Linked DNA regions of Lonchura striata. The protein of the gene in region 1 purifies or fractionates together with the protein of each later gene. This does not show direct contact. Links are inferred from orthologs where the notes say so. Each region holds a gene or a part of one and is shown in the gene's direction. Other genes may lie near its edges.

The links.
Region 2: the proteins of SLC6A15 (region 1) and KLHL36 purify together in Homo sapiens (co-immunoprecipitation; 3 studies listed by BioGRID and IntAct, counting the BioPlex papers as one, with this or other methods). This does not show direct contact. The link is inferred for Lonchura striata from reciprocal best matches to the Homo sapiens genes SLC6A15 and KLHL36.
Region 3: the proteins of SLC6A15 (region 1) and GOLGA5 purify together in Homo sapiens (co-immunoprecipitation; 3 studies listed by BioGRID and IntAct, counting the BioPlex papers as one, with this or other methods). This does not show direct contact. The link is inferred for Lonchura striata from reciprocal best matches to the Homo sapiens genes SLC6A15 and GOLGA5.
Region 4: the proteins of SLC6A15 (region 1) and glycerol-3-phosphate acyltransferase 3 purify together in Homo sapiens (co-immunoprecipitation; 3 studies listed by BioGRID and IntAct, counting the BioPlex papers as one, with this or other methods). This does not show direct contact. The link is inferred for Lonchura striata from reciprocal best matches to the Homo sapiens genes SLC6A15 and GPAT3.

Annotation. Positions count from the first base shown.
Region 1 is NC_134607.1:50,534,605-50,541,789, reverse strand, and holds the start of SLC6A15 (sodium-dependent neutral amino acid transporter B(0)AT2), read left to right. Parts: upstream 1-4,169; 5' UTR 4,170-4,191; intron 4,192-4,399; exon of another isoform or gene 4,400-4,571; intron 4,572-7,185.
Region 2 is NC_134615.1:20,615,765-20,623,265, forward strand, and holds the start of KLHL36 (kelch-like protein 36), read left to right. Parts: upstream 1-4,480; 5' UTR 4,481-4,645; intron 4,646-7,501. Other genes in the region: COTL1 (coactosin-like protein), read right to left, coding at 3,728-3,810, 4,119-4,195.
Region 3 is NC_134608.1:15,951,500-15,958,850, reverse strand, and holds the start of GOLGA5 (golgin subfamily A member 5), read left to right. Parts: upstream 1-4,351; 5' UTR 4,352-4,477; intron 4,478-5,131; 5' UTR 5,132-5,182; coding exon 5,183-5,747; intron 5,748-7,351. UniProt on the Homo sapiens protein: Involved in maintaining Golgi structure. Stimulates the formation of Golgi stacks and ribbons. Involved in intra-Golgi retrograde transport.
Region 4 is NC_134606.1:66,493,263-66,500,579, forward strand, and holds the start of glycerol-3-phosphate acyltransferase 3, read left to right. Parts: upstream 1-4,314; 5' UTR 4,315-4,363; coding exon 4,364-4,504; intron 4,505-7,317. UniProt on the Homo sapiens protein: Converts glycerol-3-phosphate to 1-acyl-sn-glycerol-3-phosphate (lysophosphatidic acid or LPA) by incorporating an acyl moiety at the sn-1 position of the glycerol backbone.

The DNA of each region.
Region 1 (7,185 bases):
TAATATGCTTGCTATGTCCAAAGGGATAATTTGTAACTTGAGCAATAAGGCAAAATCTCCTTCAGAATCTTGACCAGATGCCATCTCCTAGAGAACTAAGAACAGACAGAATGATCCAGCAATAAGAATTTACAGTGACTTGTCAGTGGCTCTGTTCTGTTCAGCTGAAGTTCCTCAACATATTCATTGTCATAAAATAATAATAGGCAATAATAATATAAAGTAATAATAGGCAACTTATATAAAACATCTTTACTCTGTCATTTTAATTAACCCTACTGCTACTGTTAGAAACAAAGCATATTTTTGTTTTCTTGAATAGATTTGCTACAGTTCTTAACCAAAGAAGTTACATTTAATAAAATGAAAAAAAAAAAAAAAGTTGAAAAGGATCATAAGTGATTTAGAATTTCTCGATAATGAAACCTTTTGAAAAATATGGAAAAAATAGGAATGGTTGTTTCTTACACAAACTAGTATAGCTGGTATCACTGAGTTTATAATCCACAATATTCTGGAGTGCAATATTTTAGGGTAAAATTTAGTACTAAGCTAACATTAAGACAAAGAGAAAATATTCACAAAAGTAACAGACTCAAAAGGTGTAAAATGCAATAAAAATTCCACATTTACCCAGCATATAAAAAAATGTCATTTATAGGCACTGAAAATATTAATTATATTTGCATGCAAAAAGCCCAAGTGTCAGATTCTGTACCTGGGATGAGGCAGCCTTGGATGTATGGAGAGACTGGGCCAATCCTTGCAAGGTACTCGATTTGCCCAAGTCTGGGAAGAATCAGGTGCCTTTCTCAGTGTCTCCAGAACACAAAAACAGTGTTGCAGTGAGGAAATCCATGCTGGAATGAGAATCCATCCAGAATGAGATACTGGAAAGCAGCACCACAGAAAACAACCTGGAGGTCCTGGTCGATGACAAGTTGAACATGAGCCAGCAGTGCCCCGGCAGCCAGGAGGGCCAGCCCTGTCCTGGGGGCATCAGGCACAGCATGGCCAGCTGGGCAAGGGAGGGGATTGTCCTGCTCTTCTCTGCACTGGGGTGGCCTCACCTCAAGGGCTGGGGACATTTTGGACACCCCATATAGGAAAGACATGAAGCTCTTTGAGAGACTTCAGGGCAAGGACAGGAGGTTGGTGAAGGGCTTTGAGGGGACACCATCTGAGGAGTGGCTGAGGTCACTTGGTCTGTTCAGCCTGGAGGAGACTGAGGGGAGACCTCACCGCAGTTACAACTTCCTCGTGAGGGGAAGAGGAGGGGCTGGCACTGATCTCTGCTCTGTGGTGACCAGTGACAGGACCTGAGGGAATGGCCTGAAGCTGTGTCATGGAGGTTTAGGCTGGACATTACAAAAAGGTCCTTCACCCAGTGGATGGTTGGGTACTGGAACAGGATCCCCAGGAAAGTGGTCACAGCATGGAGCCTGAAAGAGCTCAGGACTTGTTCAAGCCAGGACTTTCGACTTTGATGATCCTTGTGATTCTCTTCCAATTTACGGTATTTAAAATCTCTACGTGAGAGACAAGATAGCAAAACCTAGCAGAAAGATAAAACTGGCATAACCACTTTTCTTCCAGTCATTTTCTCTCCTTCTGCATTTTTTTCTTTAAAGGTTTGATGGTGTAGAACTTTAGTGCATCAGCATTTGGGCTTTGCTAATAATGATTTTTGTCTTGCTGGCATTTCTTGCTTTCCACTTACATTTTTTTTCTCTATCCTCAAATCTCCTGAGTCACAAGCAGATACATTTGGAGAGTCAGACCACCAAATGAGACTTTTTCTGTGTCTGTGTGTGTACGGCACCCCACCTCAGATCTAAACTCACCATTAAGGGTACACAGAATTTAAAGGGATCCAGAAATGACCTCTTCCTCTTTCAATTAACTATGCAGTCATCTGATTAACATTACTAGTTAATTTACTAAATAAAAGAATTGTTGGAATCCTAGACACTGAGAATTTTAAACTTTCTGTGCTTAAAGGTACAGACCCACAAGAGAACACTGCATTTGACCTAAGGTTGTAGAACAGGCTTTTAAAATTTATTAATAACACTGGGATTACGAGTGTGTAGTTGGTTAGAAGTAGGGTAGGAAATTTAAGAGTTTGGGATTTTAGAATATAGAAATAAGTATAAAGCAAGATAGAAGTTTTAGGGTGCAGGCAGATTGTTCTTTTTTACCTTCTTCCTTCTTCTTCATAGGTTTAGGTGATGTTTTGTGATTAGACAGAAAAGTCTGTATTCCAGACTTCAAAGGGTCAGTTATTAGATTAAAAAGGAAAATAATTTAAGTGTCCTTTCTTAATTGGATAGTTTAGTTTTAAAAGACCTTGTAACAAGAGTTAGTTAATCATTTAGTACCTTATTAATGAAAAAGCTGCTCTATTCACAGTAGTGAGACTATAACATAGGTAAGAAATAAGAAACACCTAAGTTCAAACATAAAATACCATCTCAAGTACCTTCAATCCGAACCTCGAGAAATCGATAAAGTATCACTCGTGAGCTGGCAAATGAAAGCATAAATTCTTCCTCTTATTAGTACTTAGAGTAAAAGAAACTTAATTCACAGTTAGAAACTTAACACAAGCTCATTTTTCCTCAGTTCCAAACAATATTTAGTAAGTACAAAATCTATTGTCTAAAGGGCTGTATAATTGAAATACATTGTGAAAATGATTAGTTAAGTGAACTAGCACCAATAGCAGGAAACACACAATGCTCTGATGAATTACTTTTAATAATGAAACAGAAATGAAAATAAGTTTGTATCACAGGTTTCTCAGTAAAAGCTGAAAGAAACGCAGATCATCAAGGCAGACTATCTTCCATACTCTGGAGGAAAATCTCTCCTCGATTCACGACGTGTAATAAGGCTACGTATATTAAGACTGAAGCTGCTGCAATTGTTCACACAGCAAGCATTAAAATCAGTTCATTCTCCATTCAATGCCTATCCACAGCAAGGCCAACGGGCCTCTCCCACCTGGCTGCCACGCCTTTGAGCTCACTTCCTCATCTTTACTTCAAGTTTTCCTTGCTAGGCAGGATCTGTAATGAATAGGGCTAATGCCTTTATTAATGTTCAGCTCTTTATTAAAAAGATCAGCTGGGCAGGGGGCCTGACACGGAGCTCGCCCCCACTGTTATAGCTTTACCAGGTAGCCACAGGGGAAGGAGGCATGCATAGTCTGTAGCTGAAGTCCAGAGCAGCAGCACGCCCCTCTCCTTTCCTCGTGGTAATACTAGGAAAATCTGCTTTTGTTACTGCTTCCCACAGTCCACTCCAGTCTAGTCTTCCGCAGGTGATGGTGACAGGTCAAACATCGATCCTTCTCCCTCAGCCAGCGCACCTGTCCAGCCCCCTCTCTGTGTTTAGCTCTCCACTTAGGGGTGTCTTTATCCCCCAAAACACGCTCTCATGGTTCCACGGGCTCCCCTATTTGCATCTTAGTCCTAGAATGGCGGGGGGGAAGGGGAGGGGAGGCAGGTAATCTCCAGGTAGTTTAGACAGAGCAATTAGCTAATTAACATTTCAATATCAGTACTTAGCTAGAGCCAGCAGTGTCCCACTATTGCCATGGGAACCAGGAAGGCTCTTTTGTTCATTACAGGATCGATCTGCCTTTTTATTATTTTTTTCCCTAAAATGAAATGCAAGCAGAGAAAAAACTGACCGAATGGCAGTGAACACTTAATGACGGAATCTTTCGGGGAAGCGTTGAAGTCAAACATCGCCGTCCTGCGACTGAAGCAGCTGTAGGAGTCAGGGCTACAAGACCTGTGTCCCATCACCATGGGGGTGGTCGGTGCCTTCCACTCTTCCCACGTCTCTCCTCCACCCCTTCTGCCCCCAAGCTCGCTCCCAGCCGCCTGCCGGCCTCCAGCACACAGGTGATGTACTCGCTGCGGCCGCCCCGCGACGGACCTCTCTTCCTTCCTGGGTCCCAGACCCCTCATTCCCAGTAATCTCCTTCTTTTGGAAAACTTGGGTGTTCTCCGAGGAAGCTCCCATCCGTGTGCCTACTTGCGCCTCCCGGCCGCCCCCCCGCCCGTGTGCCGCTACCCCCGCGGCAGGAAGGCCAGGGCGGGCCGCTCGCAGCCCGCGCGAGCGGCACACGGCACCTGGGCACCGGCACCCGCCTGGGCGCAGAGGCGGCAGGGGATGAAGGTGAGGGCAGAAACGAGGCACCCGCGCTGCCCAAGCGTGACCGCGGGGATTTTGGCACGGCGGCCTACTTCTCCTTTCGCTGACGCGTCTGCCTCCTCCCCGCCCGCCTCCGGCAGAGAGATGCTGCTGCAGGCGGGTGGGTGTGCGCTCCTCCCTGCGTCAGGAGGTGCGGCTCCCCCGGCCCGGCGCTGCCCTCCCCTTTCCTCTCCCCCCGCCGCTCTTATGCCTGTCTTTAAGCGCCGCCGCAGTGAGGGTTGGGCACATGTGGCTGCCACCGCCTGCCCGCCGCTGAGCCCCGCGCCCGCACGGCCCCGCTCGCCATCCTCGCCCGCGGGGGCACCCGGCCCCCCCTGTTCGCAACGGGCGCCCGGCGGGCGGAGGTAAGGCACGGCACGGCATGGCAGGGCACGGTACGGCACGGTACGGCGCGGCGCGGCGCTGAGCGCGGTGCGCGGGCGGCCCGCGCTTTCCCAGCCCTGCCATGCGGCCGCGGGAGCAGCGTGGCCGCCTGGCCGTGTCGCCGGGCGGGAAGGGGCAGGATGAGTGTGGGGATCCTTTCCGCCGGCGGCCGCCTTCCTGTGGCTCGGGGGTCTCCCTAGCCCGAGCGGGACTTTGGCCGTGGTGCCAGCCTCTCGCTGGCGCGGAGAGAGCCGGCCCCTCGGGAAACAATAGCGAGCGCCGATTAGAAGCCGCCCATGTGTTTTAAGTTGGCGGTAGGTTAAAAGGATGTACGGTGCTGTTTTAATCGCCGTAATTATTATTATTATTGCTGTTGGCAAGGGCGAGAAACACATCTTTTTTTCGAGCGAAAGAAATTTCATTCATCTCCCGCGTGTTGCGTAAAAAATCTCAGCCGCATGTGTAGCGCGTGTTCCGGGAGCAGCGGGGCGCGGGCTGTCTCCCCGCCGGGAGCACCCGGTGATGTGCTCGCCGCACGGACGAGCCCGGGCTCGGGGAGAGCAGGGCCAGCCGGCCGCTGAGGAGCCGGGTGCCGCGGGTCCATCCGCACCATGTGCCGCGGGCGGACGCGCCCCAGGGCGCGGGCCGGGCCCGGGCGCTGCATTGTTGCTGCGGAGCGTGGGCGGCGCCCGGCGGGGCTCCCGGTGCCTCGCGGCGCCGCGCCAGCCGCGGCTCTCGCCCCGCGAAGGCGGGGGCACCCCGCGGCCGGGGGCTGCTGCGCCCCGGTGTCAGCCATGTTTGGGTGGGTATGGTAATGAGAACCTTCTCCCAACCTTCGTGCCTCTCGGATTTATTTTCTGTGCAGGATTTTGATGGTTGTAGCCCGCCGTGTACCACGACATGTCCACAGGGTAGATTCATACCTGCAGTGTTCTAGTGATTCTTTTCCTCTTTGATTTGCTTATTAATCCGTTTAATTTTCTGTGCCCCTATTGCCTGGATTTTTTATCATTTTGCTAGTGTTAGAGCGAGCTGGAACTTCTTTGCAAGGCTTTGCTTTTGTGGTGGAAGTAAATGAGATGATCGTAATACGAATGCACAGTCACACTGACCTGGCACGCATGAGAATTGAGGGTATGGGGTGATTGGATTTCATCTATTTAAGTAAATTGCACTGCGTTTTACTTGTTAAAGACCACATTATCATCAACTATTTTATTTTCAGTGTGCTGCTGCTACATAACAAGCTCATTGCTGTAGTGTTGTTTTCTAAGATAAGCCTAATAATTTCTAAATAGTATATTACCATCTGTGTGTCACTGTGGCATATCACAGGATATGGACCCAATTTCCCCCCTACAAAGAAAAGTGCAAATGAAGTAAAGATTTTGTTATCTGATGTCATATAAATATATGCTGGATGTATTGTGCAGGCAGCTTTCTCGCCATTTGATTAAAAACTGATGACAACATAATCAGGTTTTTTTCTGTTTAGCAGTATATTTCCCATTATCAGCATCACATTAGAAAGGAAACTGTGAAAAATACTTAGGAAAGATTGCTTAATTTTGTTTTGGCTAATATACAAGTTTTTTGTTTACCCACACCCCATATTAATATAATCATAGACTCACAGCCTGCATGCGGTGCATATTGGACACTCCCTTTGGGCTCAGCTCTGCACTTCAGACTCAAGAACAAAAAATCCCATTGGTTTTGATCTATGCCTGAAAAACCAAACCATTCATAGCCGTTCAGATGTGTCACCAATACAGAAAGCTGATTATGTGAATCTGCCAAGGCATCTTGAAACTAGTTTTATAGCATAATCTGATTCTTTTTGACTTTTCATGTCTCGTCATTGTTACGGTTGTCTTTTTTCCATATTGCAAAATCCTGCATGCACAAGATTTTTAAAATGCTGAATTAGTGAGGAAAAAAAAAAAATCACAAATTACTCAGAAACACAATCTACTCATTGCAGCTATTCCTTTTTTTCAGATGACATTGTTAAGGAGTAGTTGCTGCTCAAGTGGTATGGAATTACCACTTGTAGTGTTTGTGGTAGAATCTTTCTGGGAAGATTTTATTTTGGAAATTCTCTAGAGTACTGTTCCAGAAGTATACACAATATTAAGGACATTTTTACCCGTTTTCCCAGCTATTTCCCTTATTCTGACCATTTCACTCATCTCCATTATTAATGTTCTTAATTAAAAGACAAAATACCTGTTGATTTTGGAAGAACAGTTTTCAGTCCCAAATGTTAATAGATCGGCATAGCAATGGTAGCAGCTTTTACACATGATTTTAGAGATCTCTGAATTCTCAGTTGCAGAATAACTTTGACGTATCAGCAGGTGGCCACTTGAGCAACTCCATTTGTCCTTGAAAATTGATTCAAAGTAACCTTGCCATTACTCAGGCAATGTGTTGAAATAATTCAGAGGGCAAAAAGTGTCACTGACAAATGACAACCAAATGCTATTCTACTGAAGAGCTTTAAGCACAAATCCTGGTGAGACAGTACAAAGGGGTGTGAAAATGCAGTGGTAAGTGCCAGAATGGTTGCATTAAGCAACAGCAGTAACTGGG
Region 2 (7,501 bases), on another chromosome or scaffold:
TTCCTTAAACCAACCTCCTTGGCTTTCCTTTGGGATAGGCTGGAGCAGAGGTGCCCACCCACGTGGGGCTGCCCTTTGGAGGCCAGAGAAGATGAATGCCTGGCTCTAAGACAGGGTCTGCTGCCTCCCAGGCAGTGTTGGAGTTGTCTGAGACAAACGGACCTTGGCAGGGACAGCACGACAGCGACTGACACACAGAAGTTCAGGGTCAGGCTGTGTTTGCAGCATCACCCCACGACCCTGAACAAAAGGCACTGAAGAAGCTCTTCTTTCCATGCTTCCTTCCTCTAGGAGTGGCAACTGCTGTCCCCAAACAGGGACGGGAAAAATCTGATAGTTTAATGATGCTGCTTGTTCAACCTTTCTGTTCCTACACAAAGTTTAGTGAAGATGTGAGGAAGAAAAGGCCCCACACCAGGATCTGTAAGATGAAGGTGTGATGGGGGACTGATGTGTAAGATGCAGGTGTGATGGGGACTGATGTGTAAGATGCAGGTGTGATGGGGGATGTGCATCTGAGAGTACAGCAGAGGAGGAAAGAAGCCACAGCAGGGCCAGCAGCAGCTCCTGGCTCAGGGCATGGGCCTCCCTGCCCCAGCTCAGCATCTGTCTGTGTCATGGTGCTCCCCCAGCAGTGGGGCTGGAGGTGTGCAGAGCTGGATTCTGACACAGCCTCACTCAGCTGCTACTTCCTCTAAAGAAAGCAATTTCAGTTTCTCTCCTTTCCCTTTGTCCCCAGCCACACTGGAACCCTGAGGAGGTTTGCAGAGGCAGTGATGGGCATGGAAAGGGTTATGGATAGGGGGGAAAAAAGCAAAAATAGGAGCTGTTGCAACAGCCCCTTGCAGCCCCCTGACCTCTGTCACTGCACAAGGCAGGACATCCACCACAGGCAAAGAGATTCCAAACTGGTAAAAAGCCCTTCAGGGTCCCAAAGCCACAGGAACCAGCACACAGTGACCCTGCCCAGTGCCCAGCAGGGCAGCAATGTGTACCAAGGTGCTTTTCATAAGAATGGTTCTTAAAGAAAGCAGGGACACGATGTTTGCACCTCAGAAACAGCTGCAGAAAGTGGAGCAGAGCGAGCTCTGATGGTGACTCTTTGCACGCTGAGATTGAACTCCCAGCTCCTGCTCTCACCTCCAACCACCAAAGGATGCTCAGCTTCTACCAGAGGCAGCTGCAGCACTTTGTGGCTTTCAGGGCAGTGTTTCTCACACAACAGGAATTCAAAACAAAGAAGTTTGTTCTGACACCAAAGTTTTTAAAAATTTTAATCACATTTTCTGAAGCTGTTTGCATTGATAGCAGCTCTTCTCCCCTCCAATAAAATGTAAAAGGAGACGGAAGAGACCAGGAGGAAAGAGATGTAGCCACAAGAAGAAATCATATTCAACAGCTTTTCCTATCCCTTGCTACTCTTTTTTACTGACTTTGTTTCAGTAGAAATATTCCAACCAACTCTGCTTTCTCCCAGATGGGAAGGAAAGCTCCAACTTCACTGCTGGCACAAGGTTTGATTCCTGACTGTGTCTAGCGGGCCAGGTGAAGGTTTGCTGCGCAGATGGAGGCTCCAAAACTTGCATCTCTTCCTTCCCCAATTGCAGCACTGAAATTCGTGGGTGGAGGAAGATCCTTTCCAGCTCTCAGCCAAGGACCAGGCACCTCAATTTGCCTTTTTTTTAAGCCTCCAGCAGCTGTGCTCCAGAGGTGGGTTCGAGGACAACTTCTTGGCCCAGGGAACAGCCCTCAGCAGGTGCATGCCAAGGGAAAGGGAAAGAAGGAACAGGGAAAGGCAGCAATGGAGCAGCTCTATGGGATTTAGCTCCCCATTAAAGGCTAACAATAGGCCACAGACTACCCCACAAGTGCCCTATATTTAACTCTTTCCTTACTGAGCTTATTTCTAAAATATGGAAAATTTCCTTTTTTTTTCTATCTTGGGGCCAGCTTGGTTTGAGCACCCTGTTTCTAAGCCCTGTAAAGAACACAGATGTGGCCACACTCAGAGTGCAGTGTGTGCCTCCACTATTTGTCATCCTCATCCTTCCCAGCCCAACTCCTGCCTGTGCTCTGCCAAAGCCCCTCTGCCTGCTCAGCCTCTCCAGAAAAGGATTCCCTTTGCCACAGAATGGAGGAGAGGAAGTTCTCAAGGGGCTCCCATCCAGAAAAAGCATTAAAAATCAGCTCAGACAAAAAGAAAGACAAGGACTGTGTAAAGGCAAGGAGAGAAAATAAATGAGGAAGGCTCCCCCACAAGCCTCAGGTGTCTGGAGACACCAGAGATGCTCAGTTACGTTGGCCAGGAGAGGAGATGAGAACGTGGCACTCAGATCCTGAAGTCACTGACCTCCCAAGGGAACAATTAACCACTGCCATGAACTTCCAAAGTGCTGAGCCCCGGGATTCTCTAGGTTCCAGGTAATTGCTTCTCCCTTCTCTTGCCCACTAAAAAGAGTTGAGTGGGAAGGAGTTCCTGCAGAGCAGTGAGCAGCTCTGCTGACACCAACCACAGCAGGACCTTTCCTAGTGCTGAGAATTTCCCCTGCAGGTTCTCAGGAACAGCTGGAAATGAGTGGCTGCATTTATCTCAGTGAGACCCCACTGCCAACATCCCAGCAGAGCAGCCTAAATCATCTTCGTTTCATAGCTCCTTTCCAAGGACTAAAATACACTTTTCTCCTGTCAGATCAGAGCTGTCCTGCCCTCACTTACATTCCTGGGAGTTCTCAATAAAGCACAGCCAAGCCCTGGGACTCCCAGTCCACGGTGTCCCCATGAACTGTCCCACCCTGAGAGGGCAGAGACTGCTCAACACAATTCCTCCACAGCTCAGACACAGAATTTTGAAAATACAGGTGAATCACAGCACTCAATCGTACAGTAACTGTCTCAGTGAGTAAGACTTGGTTACAATCCAGTATTAGTAAAAAACACTCCATATCTCACCTCACTTGGTGACATTGTTAACTAGCAGCCAAGACAGGAGGAAAACTGATTAAAACTGAGATAAAAATCAAAACCCGCTTTTGTGAAACTCATCAAAAGTCACGATCAGACACAGTTAAACACTCCCGGATTTATCTTCCTGTTGCCCAGGCTTTGTTGCTGCCCTGAATGTTCCACAGCCGGCAGCTCAACAATGCGCTGCCACGTTTAAACCTGGAGCAGCAACAGTTGTGGTTGTGCAACGCCGGATCTGCGATTGTTCTCGGGGCTGCATTGTTCGAGCCCCGCTTTGCAACGACCACCCTCCGCTCTTAAAAAAATCCCAGCAAGCCTTCCAACTCCAGTCATTTCAGTGCTACGATTTTCAGAAGGATTTCATGAGTATTTCACTCTCAACGATCTGTACGATCGCATCTTTCTAGCCACGGCAGCGGAGTCGGTTTTGCTGTGAAATTGCATTGCCAAACAAGTCGGCCGCTGCCTATCACTCGTTTTACTCGTTTTATCTGGTTTATAACCGAGAAGCACTGAAAGATTGTGCGAAGAGGGGAGAAAGAGCCCAAAGGATGTGAAGTTTAAGGGCGAGACAAAGGAGCCGCTGGACTATGGACTGGGGGGGTTGCACTCTGTGGAGCTGGAGAGGCGATCCCGCAGGACAGGGGGGCACGGCGGAGCAGCAGCGCTAATCCAGCTCCCCAAGTTTCCTCCCGTCCTTTCCCCCTCGCCCCGGGCAGCGGGAAGGGAGGAAAGGGGCCAAAGCAACGGAGAGGGAGCTTACCTGTGCACTTCCTCTTAAAGGTTTCGTAGTCTACCCCTTGGTCTCCAGGGACGATTGTAGAGCCATTGTACTTAAACGTCACCCTTCGGAGAGGGAAAAGACAAGGGGAATAATACAGTTAAAAGTCAGCTTTCCGGATGGGGGAAAGGAAAGGGGAACAACGCATTTAAAAGTCACCCTTTGGAATGGAGGAAGGCGAAGAATACACTGAACAGTCTTTAGGAAGGGAAAGGAGGAGGTGGGGAAGAATAGGCTGTGAAAAACCCATCCTTTAGGAAGAGGGGAAGAGGAGAAGGGGGCAAGGTCTGTCCAAGTCACCCTCTGGGGAGCGGGGAGAGAAGGACGAGGACCCCCAGCGCACCGCCGCCCGTGCGGGGGGATGCCGACCTACCAGTTCACCTCGGTGGCATCGTCCCTGACGAGGTTGTACGCCTCCCTGCACGCCTCCTTGTCGATTTTGGTGGCCATGGGGGCGAAGGGGAGGGGGGCAGCGCGGAGCGGCGCGGAGCTGGGGGGGCCGCGGCCGCCGCTGCTGCCGCACCGCGCCGAGCGAGCCGAGCCGAGCCGAGCCGAGCCGAGCCGAGCCCCGCCAGCCGCGGCCGTCCCGCCCCCGCCGCCGCCGCCAATGGCTCTGCGGGGCCTGGCCCGGCCCCTCCCGGCGCGGGGGGACCGCGGTGATGCAATAGCCGGGGGGACGGGGCCGCGGGGCCGCGGGGCTCGGCCCGGCCCGGCGCGGCGCGGACCCGCCGCGGGGATGCTTCGGCCGGCCGCCGCCGCGCCGGCGGGCCCCCGGTGCTCTGGCTGAGCGCCGGGAGGAGGAAAGAGGCAGAGGCGGCGCCCGCGATGGAGAAGCCGCCGGCGGCGCGGCGGGGCCGGGGGCCGGGCCGGGCGCACGGGAGGTAGCGCGGAGCGGAGCAGGTGAGCGGGGGCGAGGGGCTGTGCGGAACACCGGGGGCTGTGCGGAACACCGGGGGCTGTGCGGGGAACCGGGGGCTGTGCGGGGAACCGGGGCTGTGCGGGGAACCGGGGGCTGTGCGGGGAACCGGGGCTGTGCGGGGAACCGGGGGCTGTGCGGGGAACCGGGGCTGTGCGGGGAACCGGGGGCTGTGCGGAACACCGGGGGCTGTGCGGGGAACCGGGGGCTGTGCGGAACACCGGGGGCTGTGCGGGGAACCGGGGCTGTGCGGGGAACCGGGGCTGTGCGGGGAACCGGGGCTGTGCGGAACACCGGGGGCTGTGCGGGGAACCGGGGCTGTGCGGAACACCGGGGGCTGAGCATCCCCCGCATCCCGGCCCCAGCGCTCGGAGCGGCCCCGGCCCCGAGCGGCGGCTCCGGCGTGACTTTGGGTGGTGACAGCCGCTGCTGAGACGGGTGTGTGCGGGTGGCCGTGTGTCTGTCCGTGTGTCTGTCCGTGTGTCTGTCCGTGCCTGTGTGTGGGAGTGTGTCCGTGTCCGTGTGCGAGCGGCTCGCCCCGTTCCAATGCAGCGATCTCCCCCTGCCGGGCTCCCGGCGCTGCCCAGGAGCGAGCCCGCATCCCGGCGAGTCCCTGCGCTCCGCGGAGATGCTGGGAGGCTGAGGCTGCCTGCAAGGCTGCGCTTCAGCCCCACAGAAATAGAGATTTTTCGGGCTTTGCAGAACCCTGCTGGGAATAAACAGTACCGGGTGATGTCGTTGCCCAAGGACTGGAGTTTTACAAACCAGTCCTTAGGCATTTTAGTGGATTTCTACCCAAAACCCGTGTGACATGCAATTTAATAAAAAAACTGCATTCCTTGATAAAAAGCAACACAATTTGTTTCTTTTGCAGTTTGCAGGGGATGACCATTGCTTGTTTCCCATCAGTGTTGTCCATGTGAAGGCTGAGCAGTAGGGGCCTCATTGCCACACTGAGTGCTGTCAGACATGAGGGACAAGACCTGCAGAGCGAGCCAGGACTGCCAGGGACCCTTTAGTGGCACCGAGGCCCAGTGCTGCCCGCAGCTCCTTCCAGCTGCAGCCCCGGCCCTGAGTGACGTGAGGCTCCCGGAGCTCAACACGGGCGCTGCTGCAGTGCATCTCTGATTCGATGAGGTCATAGGGAACAGGGAAGGATTTCTGAAGTCAATACAAGTGTAGGACACCGGGTGAATCACACTCGGTATCTGTAGGCTGCAGGCTCTAGATGATAATATAATCACCCATTAATACGTCTGGATTTATATTGATTTTCTTTGCTTTTAGGAACACTTCCATTTTTCAAAAGCCTTTATGCAGAGCATTATCTGCTCATGAATGTATTTTTTGTGGTCTGTGTTTATCATCCTTTGGCACTTGCTGCTGTTTATACCTGTAACACTGCTGCTTGTCCTCGTCCTTGTCCCTTCAATCCCTGACCCTCAGCTCCTGATGTTTGCTAGTGTAGAGGAGGGTGACTCCAATGTCATCCCCTTAGGAGGAGAGAACCTCATCCTTGTGCACATCTCTGTGACCCCAGTGGCTGGAGCATTAATTCTCTTAATTAGGGACTTCATGCCTCACACTTTTCAGTGCCAGATCCGAACATCAGAAATGCACATCTTCCTTGTGGGGCCAAAAATCTTCTTCATTTTGCTTCTCTTTTTTGTCTTTTCTCACTTTTCCATGGATTTTTTTTTTTTTTTTTTTAATGCATGGAGGGATAAGTATTGTGCTCAGTTTAATCAGGCTGTAACTGGAGTGAGGAAATTACCTACATTTTGAACTTGGTGAGCTCTGGTTTGCTTTTCATATAGCAATTCTGAGACCTCCAGAACATGGGGCTTTCGTTCTGTGAGGAAGATGTCAGTGGCCTGGCAGAAATACCTGTCCATGTCACATGAGTCCTTGGAGAGGAAGCACAAGAGAAAACGAGGACTTATGGACCTCCTCTAAAAAACATCTCCAGCAGGCATGGAGTCCTGGGAGTCTGGAGTGACCTTCAGCTGTCTAGAATGTACCATGAGGTTCAGAAAGGGTCTCAGAGAATTTGGAGGGAGCTGAACAAACAGGATGGCTCTGCACAGCCATGGGCACTCAGGAACTTTAAAAGACACCCCTGCAAGTGCCTTGTCCCTGTGTCTCTTTGCCATCTCCCCCACTTTTTGCTTCTTCTCCAGTCTTTCTCTATGTCTGTCCCCAATCCTGCTTCTCCATTCCTGGCTTTTCTGTGCAGAAGCAGGAATGGAGAGAACAATGCTCTCCTTCAGGAAGATGCTGCCCTGAATTTTCAGGTCACAGTTAGCATTGCCATTGTCAATTTACAGGTGACAGTATCGGGTTGTCAATTTACAGGTGACAGCACTGGGGTTGTCAATTTTCAGGTCATAGTATTGGGGTTGTGAATTTACAGGTGACAGCACTGGGGTTGTCAATTTACAGGTGACAGCATTGGGGTTGTCCATTTTCAGGTCATAGTATTGGGGTTGTGAATTTACAGATGACAGCATTGGGGTTGTCAATTTTCAAGTCACAGCATTGGGGCTGTCAGTTTTCAGGTCACAGTTAGAATTGGGGCTGTGAATTTTCAAGTCACAGCATTGAGGTTGTCAATTTTCAGGTCACAGCATTAGGGCTGGCAGCAGAGTGGGTTTTCACTCAGACAGTCGAGGGTCTTTACCCAGGTCCTCATGGTCACACGGAGAGACCAAAACTGGCAAAAACACTTTTTATCTCCAGACTCAATAATCAACAGATGAGTACAAGTCCATCATCCTCTCTGGTTTCCTGGGGTGTCCTTGGCTGCTGCCCCAGCCCTGGAGGGTGGCAGAGGCTGGGCA
Region 3 (7,351 bases), on another chromosome or scaffold:
GGCATGCTTCCAATATACTGCATGAATCAAAACCCTTAGACCAGATATGTAGTTGTGTATTAATATATCATGACACATGAAAAAGAAGGCTGATTGAGGATGTCATGACCCATTTTTTAAATTGTATTTTTTGTTGTTGTATTTTTTGTACTTTATGGTTTTCAGCACAGTCTTTTACAGAAGCTAACCACTCAAGTTTTATTTCAGTATACTTAGAGAAGAGGTTAACCTAGTATAAGTCAAGTGACTATGTATCTGTTTTGCCTCTTCTACCTATAAATTTACCTTAATGAACAATTAAGAACCTGTGAATCAGGTCAAAGTGGAAAATAGTAATTTTAATTTTTTTTTTCAACTGCAGAGCCTGCCTCTTTTTTGAATAAAAAAAAATCATACCTAAAACCCCAAATGTTTTCTTGCAATGAGTTTTGAGAGAGTAAGTTAATCTTGCTGTGTTACAGTTATTGGGGCAGATATTTTCCAGCTTTGTTATTTAAATTTCCTTACAATGAGAGTTATAATAGGCAAAAATAATGCCTGTAAATTATAGTTTAAAATTACTTCTACTTTGAGTATGAATAGGGATCTAAAGGCTTTGTACAGAAAGTCTAATTTTTTACAGCTAGATATGAATCTTGCCCTTTTTGTACTTGCAGACAGAGAATTGCAGCCAGAACCTGTCAAACTATGTAGCAAGATGTGTAGCATCTCAGATCAGGGCCTGGACCCTGGGGAGGGCACCTGTAAACTGAAAAGACACCTGAAAAGTTTTCAGTGGTAGTTAATGAAGCTGTATGCCCCTTGTGACAGAATTAAATATTCTCACCACTCAGCCTGGCAGTCACAGCATTCTTAGAAGTAACTGTTGACACAGCAGACCTAAGGGACTTTATAAATAGGTCAGTGGAACAAGCAGCAAGTTCTCTTTCCTTCTTCTATCTTCCTCCCCACCCTGCGAAACCTCAGAGCATCAGTTATGGGAATAAAAATGCATCTTAAAGAAGCACCAAGGAAAGAGATATCACTAACTATTCAGGTCTCAGCCAGTAAACTTTCTGCTATATTTTTTATAATTTTATAAATAAAAACATTATTTTTGGAGACTGTCAGTGATTGTGAAAATGTAAATAGAACAAATTTCAGTAGTTTTGCTGTAACCTTTATGTCTTCTAGAAATCAGGCAGTTGCAGAGATTATCACATGTGAGACTCTAAATAGTGGGGGGAATGTAGTGGAGTTACTACGTTTTATCAGAGCATTCAGAGGGAATAAATGTTTCCCAGGTTACACATAAAGTATGATTTGTTGTATGGAATGATTATATAACTGAACAATTCAATATAAAATCTATACAGGACTTAAAGGATTTGTTTTCCCCCACTCTTACCAATCCCTTTATGAATACAGGATTCCTGTTTTAAACATTTAGAATGAACAGGGAAAGAGAGTTGCCATGGAATTTACTTCAAGGTAAATAATGATGTCCTCTGCAAGGACTGGAAATTCTCAGCCTGTGGACTGTTCAGATGTGATCCTAGGAGTCTGCCTAATCTTGAATAAAAGGCACTTCTGTCCAGCCATTTACTTATCTAAACTATTCTGCATCTATAACATGATTCAGTCAAACAATGCAATGGCTCTAGAGTGGAATGGTACATGCTAAAATGTGATTTGAATTCCTCTTGCTGGTTATCCATTTCTGCTGTGTGTATATTTCCTAAACAGGTTTTCACACTCTAATGCAGAGAAGGGATTGCTAGATGCAGTGATGCAATAGGATATTTTCGGGATTGAAATATGCTTTGTTTCTATCCCCTCTGTAAAAGACAGAGATAAACTAGGGATTTGGCTTTGGCCCTTCATGTTTCTTTTGAACATTTTTCATGTCACTTTAGTGTGTAATGATCAAATACTTCAAATATTCGCAATCATATGTGATTTTTCCATTGAAAGGATTGGTCATGTGTTTTGAAGGGTGAACAATTTAAGTAAAACAAGTTAAGTATAAACTTGTAATTAATAAAATCTCTTAAAAATATTTCCTTTTCTTAGTGCCTGAGAAGGTGATACATTCACATTAATTAAAATGATGCTTATGTGCAGCTGATTCACGTGATGTAAAAGTTGAAGGTTATGAATTTGTTTGGTTTATTACTGTTATTTTCAATGTGTTGCTTGATCTGCAGTGAGGCAGGATAGATTTTCTATTAACTCATGCCAGTACTAGTGCCAAGAGTATGTTCTGAATAGGCAGCAGGGCTGATGTCTCCTGCTTGGGCTTAAGTCCTAAGGATGGCCAATGATAATTGATAATTCATGTCTGTTAGAGAAACATTTTGAAGCCTTTGACCTACAGAGGAACTCTTCATAATCTTTTCAAATACTGTGTGTTCAGCATTGGAAGAGGAGTACCATGATAAGATATAAGGAAACTTCTGTAAACATTCAGATAATTTGATAACAGCCTAGCAGTGAATTTAATCAGAGAATACTTGTAAGATGTGATCTGACAAGATAACAACTAGGGCTGTGGGAAACACGGATGTAAGTCACCAGCCATGCATTCAGCATTATAATCAGGAGGACAAGAGGTCCTCAACCAGAGGAGGATCTGAGGGCTTCTGTTCTCTACCAGAATGTCTAGTCTGTACTCCATCCTTGTCCCTGTGCTATTTTGCTGTTATTTATTTTAGAAAATTGAAGCAAGTGGTTCTATTATTAATAATGTAGTTAGAATATTATTTGTTTAGTATTTTGAGTATGTAAAGTATTGTAAATGCCAGTAGTGTAAGTCTTGTCTTCACTCACATTCTTGCTGATACAAGTGTTGCCTTCACTCACATTCTTGCTCATTCAGGCATGAGTAGAAACTCTCTGTGAATTGTGGTGGTTAACTGTGATATGTTTGTATGGAAGGTTGAGGAAATAAATAAAGGGAGGTGAGAGGATGAACAATAACAAAACCTTATGTAGTGCTTTAAGTGTATCTTAAGCGTAGTTTATGTATACTTTAACAGCTGTCCTTACTCAGAATAAGCATTTGAAGAGGGATAATAGCCGTAAATCTTGAAATGATTCAAGTATTGCAGGTTGCAGACATTGAGTCACAGATGACAGGGAAGGACGTGACGGTCAGGAGTGCGCAGCACTTGGGAATGCGGTTTCACTGGGGGTTTGGCACCAGCAGCTGGGCTCGCTGGTCTGTGAGCTCTTTCCCAGCGCAGCTGATCCTGCGCTCCTGCGGCACCCGCAGCTCCCGGCGCCTCTCGCCTCGCGCTCACCGAGAGCGCCGCCAGGGGGCGCGCGGCGAGCGCCGCTCCCGCCCGCGGGAGGGGCGGGGCCCGAGCGCGCCGGGGCGGGGCCCGAGGGCGCCGGGGCGGGGCCCGAGCGCGGCGGGGCGGGGCCCGAGCGAGGCGGGGCGGGGCCCGAGCGCGCCGGGGCGGGGCCCGAGCGCGCCGGGGCGGGGCCCGAGCGAGGCGGGGCGGGGCCCGAGCGCGCCGGGGCGGGGCCCGAGCGAGGCGGGGCGGGGCCCGAGCGCGCCGGGGCGGGGCCCGAGCGCGCCGGGGCGGGGCCCGAGCGCGCCGGGGCGGGGCCCGAGCGAGGCGGGGCGGGGCCCGAGCGCGCCGGGGCGGGGCCCGAGCGAGGCGGGGCGGGGCCCGAGCGCGCCGGGGCGGGGCCCGAGCGAGGCGGGGCGGGGCCCGAGCGAGGCGGGGCGGGGCCCGAGCGCGCCGGGGCGGGGCCCGAGCGCACCGGGGCGGGGCCCGAGCGAGGCGGGGCGGGGCCCGAGCGAGGCGGGGCGGGGCCCGAGCGCGCCGGGGCGGGGCCCGAGCGAGGCGGGGCGGGGCCCGAGCGCGGCGGGGCGGGGCCCGAGCGAGGCGGGGCGGGGCCCGAGCGCGCCGGGGCGGGGCCCGAGCGCGCCGGGGCGGGGCCCGAGCGAGGCGGGGCGGGGCCCGAGCGCGCCGGGGCGGGGCCCGAGCGAGGCGGGGCGGGGCCCGAGCGCGCCGGGGCGGGGCCCGAGCGCGCCGGGGCGGGGCCCGAGCGCGCCGGGGCGGGGCCCGAGCGAGGCGGGGCGGGGCCCGAGCGCGCCGGGGCGGGGCCCGAGCGAGGCGGGGCGGGGCCCGAGCGCGCCGGGGCGGGGCCCGAGCGAGGCGGGGCGGGGCCCGAGCGAGGCGGGGCGGGGCCCGAGCGCGCCGGGGCGGGGCCCGAGCGCACCGGGGCGGGGCCCGAGCGAGGCGGGGCGGGGCCCGAGCGAGGCGGGGCGGGGCCCGAGCGCGCCGGGGCGGGGCCCGAGCGAGGCGGGGCGGGGCCCGAGCGCGCCGGGGCGGGGCCCGAGCGCGCCGGGGCGGGGCGGTTCCCCTGCGCCTGCGCGCGGCGCCCCCGGAAAGGCGGCCACGTCTGCCGGAAGCGCTGGGGCTGCGCTCGCCGCCGGCCCCTCACGGCTCCCCTCGGGCCAGAGCGCCCCCCGCGCTTGCAGGAGGTGAGGCCGGGCCGGGCCGAGGCCCCCGCCGCTCCTGAGCGGGGCCGGGCCTGCGGAGGGCGGGGGGCAGGCGGTGCTGGGGGTGGGGGAGCGGCCGCTGTGAGCGTCGCCTTCCCGGAGCTGGGCTAGAGGGGCAGCCCCCACCGTGGTGTCGCAGCCCCCACCGTGGTGTCGCAGCCCCCACCGTGGTGTCGCAGCCCCCACCGTGGTGTCGCAGCCCCCACCGTGGTGTCGCAGGCCCCTGGTGCAGGTGAAGGCACGCAGCTGTCCGCCGTGTCACGGGAGAGGCAGCGGGCTGCAGAGTTTGTGGGGGAGAGGATCCTGGCCTGAGCCGGGTTGGGAATTTGCAGGCCAAACGGCTTAAGGCGTAGTTGTTTTCTCTTTGTGATACTCTGTAGCAGCCGAAGATACCAGCAACTGATGCAGTGGTCTGATTTTAACAACCTTGGTTTAAAAACCGAGGTTTTGTTTGTTTTTTTCAGAAACTGGTTTGGTTTAGTTCCCTTAGTTACCGAAAGAGCAAAATACCAAATAAGCAGAAGAAAAGTATTACAATAACTGCAGCACTAATACCTTTGCACACCAGTTTAGATAAACAATACATCTTGCCTTAGCAGCAGCAATCTAATTTGTAAATCCTTCTGTCTTTTGCAGTACATGGTCCTGAAATCTTAATTGTACAGACTTCATCAACAGACACTCATCATGTCTTGGCTTGCTGATCTCGCTGGAAAGGCAGAGGATCTGCTCAACAGAGTTGATCAAGGAGCTGCATCAGCTCTGAGCAAAAAAGACACATCAAGCAGTGTGGTTTATGATAAGAAGAACTTGGACTCTGCCAACGAGTATTCTGAAGCACACCAGCATACTGGAGAACTGAAATACCAGACCTCATCTAAAGCAGCCTACATCTCCTCAGCAGCTGAAAATATTAAACACCAGAAGGCCACAATGCTGGCAGGAACAGCAAATGTTAAAACAGCACGTAGGACATCCTTAGAGGCAGCTTCTCCAGTAGAAAATGCTTCCACACCCAGAGCTGCCTCACATTTTGTGAGAAGAAAAAAGTCAGAACCTGATGATGAGTTGCTATTTGATTTTCTCAACAGTTCAGAGAAAGAACCTAATGGAAGGATAGATTCTAAAAAGGAGAAGAGCAAGGCACCTGTTCTTCAGAATCACTCTCGGACTTCAAGCATTAGTTCTGTGTCTACCAGTACACAGAGTGCAAAAACTACTGAGGATAATTCCTTCAGGAGCCAAGGCAATGGTAGTTAAATAGTATTGAACCTAGAAATATTTAAAACCCAAGTATGTCTAGGGTAAGGCTAGGTATCACATGAAACTTCATGTCACTCATGGAACATTTAACAGTGCTAATGTCAGATGGGTGAGGTACAGCAGGGCCTTTCAGGTTTTTTCCTCACTGGGGCAATACTAGAGACTATGCTAGTTTGACAGACAGCATAATGGATACCTAAATCCTTTGGCTCTGGACCTGCCCTGTTGCTACTGCTCAGCCTGACCTGTCTGAGCTGTGGTCTAACCCTGCATCAGCCCCGTGTGTCCCCGTGTAGGAGCACAGGTGCTGCCCTTTTGTTTGGTCCCTGGGCCTGTAGCTGCTGTTGGCAAGTGGGAGGGGAGTGACTTTCACCCACGATGAGATGGTGTTGGCTGCTGCCCACTGCAGCTTGAGGGGCAGGGTAAGGCATTCCCTGTTCACTGTGCAGGAGGGGTGAGCTGGCAAACATGCTTGTCCTGCAGGAAGCTGGATGCAGACAGGCTGGTGTAGAGCCACAGGCATGAGAGGGCCAGAGAGATAAAGCCTCTGTGTTTGCCAGAAGTAGTTCATGACTGCTTAATCCAGAGGCCTGAATGAGCCTCCAGGCCAGACAGTCAAAAGCTGGGGCTGGGCTCAAGTCAAACACAAATGAGAACGTGGCTGGGAAGTGTCAAGGACTTCTGTTCTCTACCAGGCTGTCCAGTTTATACTCCATCCTTGTTGCTGTGCTACTTTGCTGTTATTTATTTTAGAAGTTGAAGAAAGTGGTTCTATCATTAATAATGTAATTAGAATATTATTTTTTTTAGTACTTCGAGCGAGTAAAGTATTGTAAATGCCAGTTTTTTACTTACTACATTAGGTATGCTGAAAGGCTTTAGACATAAAAAAGGATAATTTCCAAACATGTGAATATTTTTCTGAGCCCATGGCTTTTCAGTAAGGTTTACTGCTACTAATAAATAAGACAGATATGTTAGACCTGACTCTATGGCCTTGCTGATTGGTGCTTAAAAAATATTTGTTTTTCTCAGTGTGGCTTGTTGAGTTTTCTTCTGAGGATTTTTTGAGCAGAGTTCACATTGTGGAGCTGCTAAATAAGGAAGAATACAGTTACAATACAGGATTTGAACACACTATTTTCAAAAGTTCATTGTACAGATATATTTGTGTCATTTAAATATTCAGCACACAATCTGTTGAAGTAGCTTATAATGTGTTAGCTATAGACAAAACCAGTTAACATTACACTTTGTATATTGCCATGATTATAATCTAATCTGTGCTGTAAGTGGCTCATTTCTTGCTTCATTATCTTAATTAATCTATTGAGTTTTCCAGACAGAGAAATGAGCCTAAATTATTTCATAAGTTGGAAACTGTGTAAGTAAATCAAAGGAAAGATAATGACACTTCTTAGGATCCCTTTAAGTGGAAAAAGGCTTGAGAAAATGTGGAATAAATCTTCTGTGACTGCTGCTACTTATGGGTGTGGTGTTGCTCAGAATTATTAGTGTGCCCCCATTCCCTGGGCTTGGGGTGTTTGGAGCTGTTGCAGTGATAAGAAAAGTGAAGCAGCTTGGTTAATGATC
Region 4 (7,317 bases), on another chromosome or scaffold:
GTGGCTATCAGCATGTCTTGTCCTTCCTTAAAATCCTGCTGTGAATGGAAAAAAGTTTCTTTTTAAGTGGTTAATTATATTGACCTGGAACTTTCGGTCATTAAGGAGACCATGGAGTTCTGGAATAATACTTCCATGTTTTTTCCTTCCCTGTTTCCTCTCTCCCAATGCAGTAGAAATCCAGGCTGCCAGATCATGGTCAACAGCCAAAGGAGGTGCCATCCTTGTGGCCTGCTCCTTGTATTGGTGTCACAAATTCTAGCACGTCTGCTGGGTTGGTTGGTTTTAATTGAGCTGGATTGATTAATTCCTAGAAACCTAAACTTCTAAAGTCTGTAAATTAAATTGTTTGAGGTGGGGCATGCCTGGGTGCTGTGTTTATGAAGTGCACAGTGCTTATAAGCCCTTGCTGCTGCTGGAGACAACACACAAGGCTGCAGCTCCGTCAGTGCACATTGCCAGGCTCAAAGGCTGTGTGGAAGCCAAACTACTTTTATTTATTTTCAGTGTAATAAGAATTAGAAGTCCATGACAGCAGACAGTAAAATTCCACTTAGGATACAAAGTGAAGCTGAAAACATCTGACTCCTTGTATAAAACGTACCAATTTTTACAGTGAGTTATAGCAAATACAGTGGTAGAGAGAAAGCATACCCTGCCTGCAGCCAGAAGACAGATGACAGAATGCAGAATTCCCCTGAATGGTTTGCTGGCTACCTGCCATTCCTCAACAGCACAAGATAAAAATGAGCACTGGGATAACCACCCTGACCCTATTTACTTGCAATAATACACTGATATTTACATGAAATGGAACTGTTTGATATTCTGAAGCTGCCCAGCTCCAGTGACAGGAGACAAATGAAATGCTACTTTTTATTAAATCTGACCTACCATAAGCCAGTAACATATGCAGTAACTTAGCAAAGGGAGACTGGGGCTGTCTCATGAGGTCCAGGCTCTCTTCCTGGATTGGTTAACAAGATTTCCCCCATCCTGCAAACCAAGTTTGCAGCCGTGTTCCATACCACCAAATCTTGAGTGGTGCTGATAATTAGGAGGGATAAAGTAAGCATGGTCAAACAAACAAAAAACAAACAACAACAAAACCAAACCAAACAAAAAAACCCCAAAAAACAAAACCAAAAAAACCCAACCCAACCCAAAACACCCCCCTACCCCCAAACAAACAAACAAACAAAAAACACCCCAAAAAATTTAGGAAAGCATTGTGGTAAGACTGATCCTTTTCCTCTGTCTTTGATTCAATCCAACTTCCATTAAAAAAATGTGTTACATCACAGAGTCATGTTTATTTGGACAATAAACATATTCTTGGTAGTGACTAAAAATACACTGTTGCTAGTATTAATATGTCAAAAATTAAGAATCTCAGCAACTTCTTGCAAAGTTAAAGAAAAAAACCCAAACATTTTCTCATTGGATTTTCTGGATCCATTTGGATTTTCGCATCCATTTGGAACATATGATTTAGATAAACTTGAAGCATATCACTTCAACCACAACTTTTTTGGTATGCACTGTAATTTGTGAAATAAATTGAAAAATAAGGATATATGAAAATGTTTTCTTCCAAGTATGGCAATACTGGTATATTCTCATGGGATTTTTCTTTTTGAAAAGTACTCTATTAGAAACATGACTAACTGTAGTCTTTCTACATTAAATAGGCCTTGAAAAAATTAAAGTATGGAAAATATTTTAAACTGACACTTTTTCTGTATCTTCAATGTATATCATACTGTCTTACCCATACTGAAAGTAAGGTCTTAGTGCTTGAACAAAAAAAAAAATCCTCCTCTCTTAGGAGAACAGGCTCATTGGTCAAAGTAAGGCAGAGAAATTTTATGCCCTCACAGATTAGAGTGCAAACAAATAAAATGTAATGATGTAATCAATTTGAAACTAAATTTTCAGTAGATAGATGATCAGCAGTCAGCAGTTTATAACAGCTTTATCTTTAAAAGGCAAAGGTCACTCGGTAAGGAGAGCAAGTAGATTTGTTGGGTTTTTTTTAATAAGTCTACAGTTTTTGCAGTTAACAGCCAACTATTCTTCAATGGGAGTGCAAGATCTGTGCAAAGGCTGAACTTCAGCACAGTCATGAGAGGACTTTGGTAGCAGCTCTGTCACCAGGAGGCTGTTGGACGAGCAGGCATGTTTCCTTCCTGCTGTCCCAGGCAGACAAGGTGGTTTTTCAAGTAACTCAATAACAGAATTGATTTTTTTTTCTTCCCATTTAACATTAATAGCTTTGTGAATTATTCATGCAAGCATGGAGGGGAAGCCTGGATGCAATAAATAAGAGTATGTGTTTATGTGCAAATCTTGCCTCTGTCCTGGTCTGTTTAGCTCACACAGCATGGCTGCCTGTGCCTAAACTGCCTCCTGTCATGACACATTTTCACAGTGTTTTTCCCCACTGTTGCATAGTGAGAGCAGGGCTCAACCCAGCCACCTTCCTCTCCTCTTAAAACACCAATGCTGGTAGAGGCTGTTCCCTTCCTGCTCTTTGTTTATGGAGCCTGAGGACAGTGCCAGCAGGTCTGATAGCCAGGCTATTGAAGCAAAAAAAAAGCAATGCCTTAATTCCATGTGATGAATATTACAAGGAGAGGTCTCCAAAATCTTCTTTTGTTACTCCAGGTAGACTGATGGATTCCAGCCTTCTGAGACTCAGGAATTTGCCACACGCCATCAAATTTGACATATGGTGTGCCATTTCACTAAAGAAGAGGTTAACAAGCACATGGACTAAGTCAAATTATTTTCAGTTTTTAAGATTTTTTTTCTCAACAAACCTACAAGGCAACACTTTGCCTCGTACAGGATTATCTGTATTGCAATTAGATGCCATTAGTTGCTGTTTAAGGTACTGAAGGTACTGAAATTTCAGGTAGATAGATAGTATGACCCATTACTGTAAACACTGCACTGTTTTCCTCAGGATCTAGACAGCATCTACTGTTGCTGCTTGGGCTACATCTGTCCTTTGGATGAAGCATTTTGTTCCTTAACGTCAGATGAAAACAAAATAACCAAGCCTTTGGCCTCTGCCATTTACACCCCAGATGAAAATTCACAAGCAAGTACTAAAAAACCTGTATCACTTTCTGCTTGGGAAGCAACAAAATACAAAATTAAAATATCTTAGCCATATCTGTGTTACAAATATCAGCCAGTCTGGAAAGCAATATTCTTTTGATTTGTTTCTGTTCTGGGCTCTGGGCACTTTTCATTTACTTGAATCTACACATCTTTGTAATATTTTAAAACCACTTGTAGCGCAGATAGTAAGAACTCTTTTTTACCCTGTGTATGGCACTTACAGGTTATGGCCTTGATCCTAACTGGGTCTTATGGGCATGATCGTAACTAAACACTTAGAAGAATAAAGACACTGAAGTGTTGTTTGGCAATATCAGATCCAGTTGGACAATTGTGGTTGTGTCTAGAGGCTTCATCAGGGATCGTCCTGCTTCTGCCTCAGAGCAGTTATTTAACCAGATGAGGCAAAGGGTAGGAGGAGAGACACCAGAGCCAAAAATAGGAGCCAGAAAGTAATGCCCTTGTCCACATGACTCCCAAGGAAATAGTTCTTTAGGCCTTGGACTCCAATCTAGGTTTTTCATTGGATCCTGAGCACTTGGCTCTCAGATACATTTCTGATCGTCCAAATGCGAAGAGGCACACCAGACATCCCATTTCTATGAAACAGTTGTGAAGGATTGCCACAGAAAATATGCTGACTGCCTTTTTCTCAGAAAATGATGTTATTTCCCTTTCCCCGGAATGCTTTTTCAAGGCTGCCATCCCTCTTCAGCCTTTTTCTCCTAACTCCGCTTTCTTGGTACGGATTGTGTCACGCCTGGTGCTGCAGGGCTGGCTGTGCACAGGCAGAGCCAGTTGTCACGAAGTCTCCTTGCTCTCGGAGAGGGCCTAATGCCGCTGCGGGAGCCGGACCCTCAGTGAATCCCTTCCCTGCTCAAACCGGGAGAAACACACAGCGCAGCCCTTGCTCCTTTTCCTTTCTTTAGCTATTCCTGCCCACTTTGACATTGGCAGAGCCAGGAGCTTTCCCCGGTTTTCCTTTTCACTCGCGCTGCGCGGGCTGCCCGCCGCCGGCCCCCGTTGCAGCCGTTCTCCCCACAGCGGGCGCCCCGCCCGCCGCCGCCACGCCCGGCTCCGGCCGCTCCCCGCCCGCCGGCTCCGCCCGAGCCACGGCAGCGCCCACACCGCTGCGGGCGGGCCGGGGCGGGCCGGGGCGGCCGAGGCGGGCGGGGGCGGGCCGGGGCGGCCGGGCCTTTAGGGCCGGCGCTGGCGCTGCGCGGCCCGGCGCGCCATGGAGGTGGCGTGGGCTCTGGGGCAGGCGGGCGCCGTGTGGCTGGCCGCGGTGCTCGGGCTCATCGTGGTGCCCTCGGCGCTGGGCATCTCGCTGGGCATTTCGGAGGCCTATATGTGGGTGCTGGTGAAGACGCTGGAGGTAGGCGGGAGCTGTGGAGGGGAAGGGGGGTGTTGCCGGCTGGTTTCCCCCGGGGCAGCGCCCGTGCGCTCCGTTCCCGTCGCGTCCTCCTGGGGGTCACGTCCTGCCTGGCAGCAGCTCTGCTCGGCTGCAGCTTCGGGCTTAAAGCCCTCGCGTAAAACGAGAGGTCTGCGTTAATTTTGCGGCTGTGTAGGCTCAGGAGCGCTGCCCCTGAACCCTGAGCGGAATAAACCTTGTCACCTAAGGCTGTACCATGGCCTGGGCGAGGCTGTCGCTGCTCGCTGGCAGCTGCGCTGCGCTTGGGCTAAATGGTAGCGGGTCGTGCTCTCGGAGGGTGTAAAGGTCTGCTGCCAGCAGTGCTGATGCTCAGAGGAGGCGACTCCCATCCAAGCTGAGCCATGTACAGCGCCGCAGTTGCCGGCTGCCTCTAAATTTTCAGGGACACCCAGTTTCTCGCGGAGGAACTGCTTTCTGCACGGGGCGTATTTAATATGTGTGCAAAAGCTCTCCTTCTCAAGCTCATGGTAGTGGTGAGCAGTGGTGTTTTTAAATTGTTGTTGGACATGATAAGATTTAAATCTTTAGCACGCTTTTTCCAAGGAGGAGGGGCACCCAAATCAAGGAAACAGCTGTAAGGAGGAAAAGTGAAATGACCCACAGCATTCAGTGGCCATGCAATATACATCACTATGTGACTATGGAAAGTAGATTTTGTCCAATTTCATCTTGTTCTTCGAGGTTTTCAGGCAAGGCTTGTACTTCAAAAAAAAATCCCACCTATTAAATCGGCATTTGTTAAATACATCTTAAGCAAAATGTTTCTAGGCTTTTGGGTGAGAATGAATCTGTTCTCCGTAATTTCTGGGACTGTGAATGGTATCAAGATAACTGTTGAGGAGAGAATATGCAGTTGTTAGTGGAAAAAAGGATTTGAATAGCAGGAACTGAGGTGGTAAAGATCACTCTGGCCTGAGGGAGCAATCCAGATGGCCCAGTGAGATAGTCTTGTTTGGATGACTTGCCTTCACCTGTGAATAACCACAATTTACATTCTTTATTCCTAGATCATTAATCATTATTTTTTAGTGTCATCAAATGTTGCAACAAGAGGTGAGCCAATATGTTTTGCGCAAAATTGTGGAGAAGTATCTGGCGGCGTATTGACGATGGTTAATTGTGAGAGCTCTCCTATTGCCTTAAGGGAGGAAATAATGCCAACTTTGTGGAGTTATCGTTACACTTGCGAGTTTTTATTACTTTTGCATTAAATGCTTTCTGGAGTTGCATGCTGCTCAATATATTAAAAATTAAATTAATACATAATTATATTTGACATAGATATGATATAAACCAATGTATATATAAAGAAAAGGCAATAAAAAATTGGAAAGTATTCTGAGAAGAGTCATCTAAATTAGACTGCTATGGGAGAGTGAGGAAGCTCAATCCGCCCAGGTATTCTGCTTATCTCAACTTGGCCTTGCTTGCCTGTGAATTCTTTGTCCTCAGAATACTTGTGCGGGGAGAATCCCTGAAAGGAAGTGGCTTGTTGTGGGATGTCTCCTCTTCATTTGCTCACAGGTGTGTCTTGGTTAGAAGCCCAACAGAGGATGATTGTCTACAGCCAGGTCCTGGCAGCACCTGCAAGAGCACCTGATGTGCAATATCTAAACTGTGGCTATTAATCAGTAATATTGGGAAAAGTACTCTATCCTTGCAGGTCAAACTTTCAAGAAGTCGGTTATTTAAATAATTTGGGAAGGTCTATTTCTTTTTATAAGGGATAGTTATTAATAACTATTGTGTTAACAGTGAAATGTGCTGCTAGCTGGGCTGCTGAAACTCCCTGGGATGTTGAATTGAGAGTGCATGTTTTTTCCTGAGAAGAGCTTTTTGGCTTTGAGGTTACAGGATGCTGAAGTCTCTGATGGCTGAGGCCTTTTTCAGCTGTGTTAACTTAATAGCTTCCTTAAGCTTTCTCTTCCGCTCCCTGCCATGGGGCTCCCCAGGCCTTTCCCCCTCTTTTCCAGGAGGGAGGGTGGGCTCTCACACCTGCAGAGTGTTCAGTCAGGATGTTGCTGCTTTTGTTGCCTCTTTAATGGGCCAAATTACAGGAACTGTCTGCAAAGTGGTGGCTGTTTGTGCATCCCAGGTGATACCCTGGCTTTGCCTGTTTTTATCCCCTGTGTAGTGGAAGGACACAGTGTCTGTGATTTATTTCTTACATGGCCTGTGTTGTCAGCTTACAACGTCTGCTTTATTCGAGTTAATCTATTTTGAGGGTCCAAGTCTGTCCATAGTTCAGGGACAGTTCTACAGTTTGCTGTGATACCTCTTCAGGTCATGTCATGCAAAACAAGACATCCAAGAATGAGTCTGTGGTGTTCAGTTGTGTAGGCTGTGGGATGGGGCAAGTTATGATGGGGGGCTTGTGCTTGAATTTTTTTCTTGCCAATTAAAAAAAACCACCTTTTTCTGCTTGTTTCAGGAGGGCAGAAGCTTGTTCTTGGTGCTACAAGTATGATCTGAGAAGAGGGAGAGGGAAGCTCCTTTTAGGAACAAGGTGTTTTTGTACTTTCACCATCTGGTTTTTCTGACAAGGGACAGCAGTTGCACAATAGATTTTTCTCTCTGCTCAGCTGCCTCAACAAGCATGCGCTGCTAAGACAACGCAGCATGTACAGATGAGGATGTTCTGCTGTTGGGTTGCATTTGACCCTTAAGTACTGCACTAGGGATTACCAGCTTTATATGGATATATTTTTTCCTGTGTGATTGTATTTTTTTTCCATGTGATAAGGGAAAATGTGTAG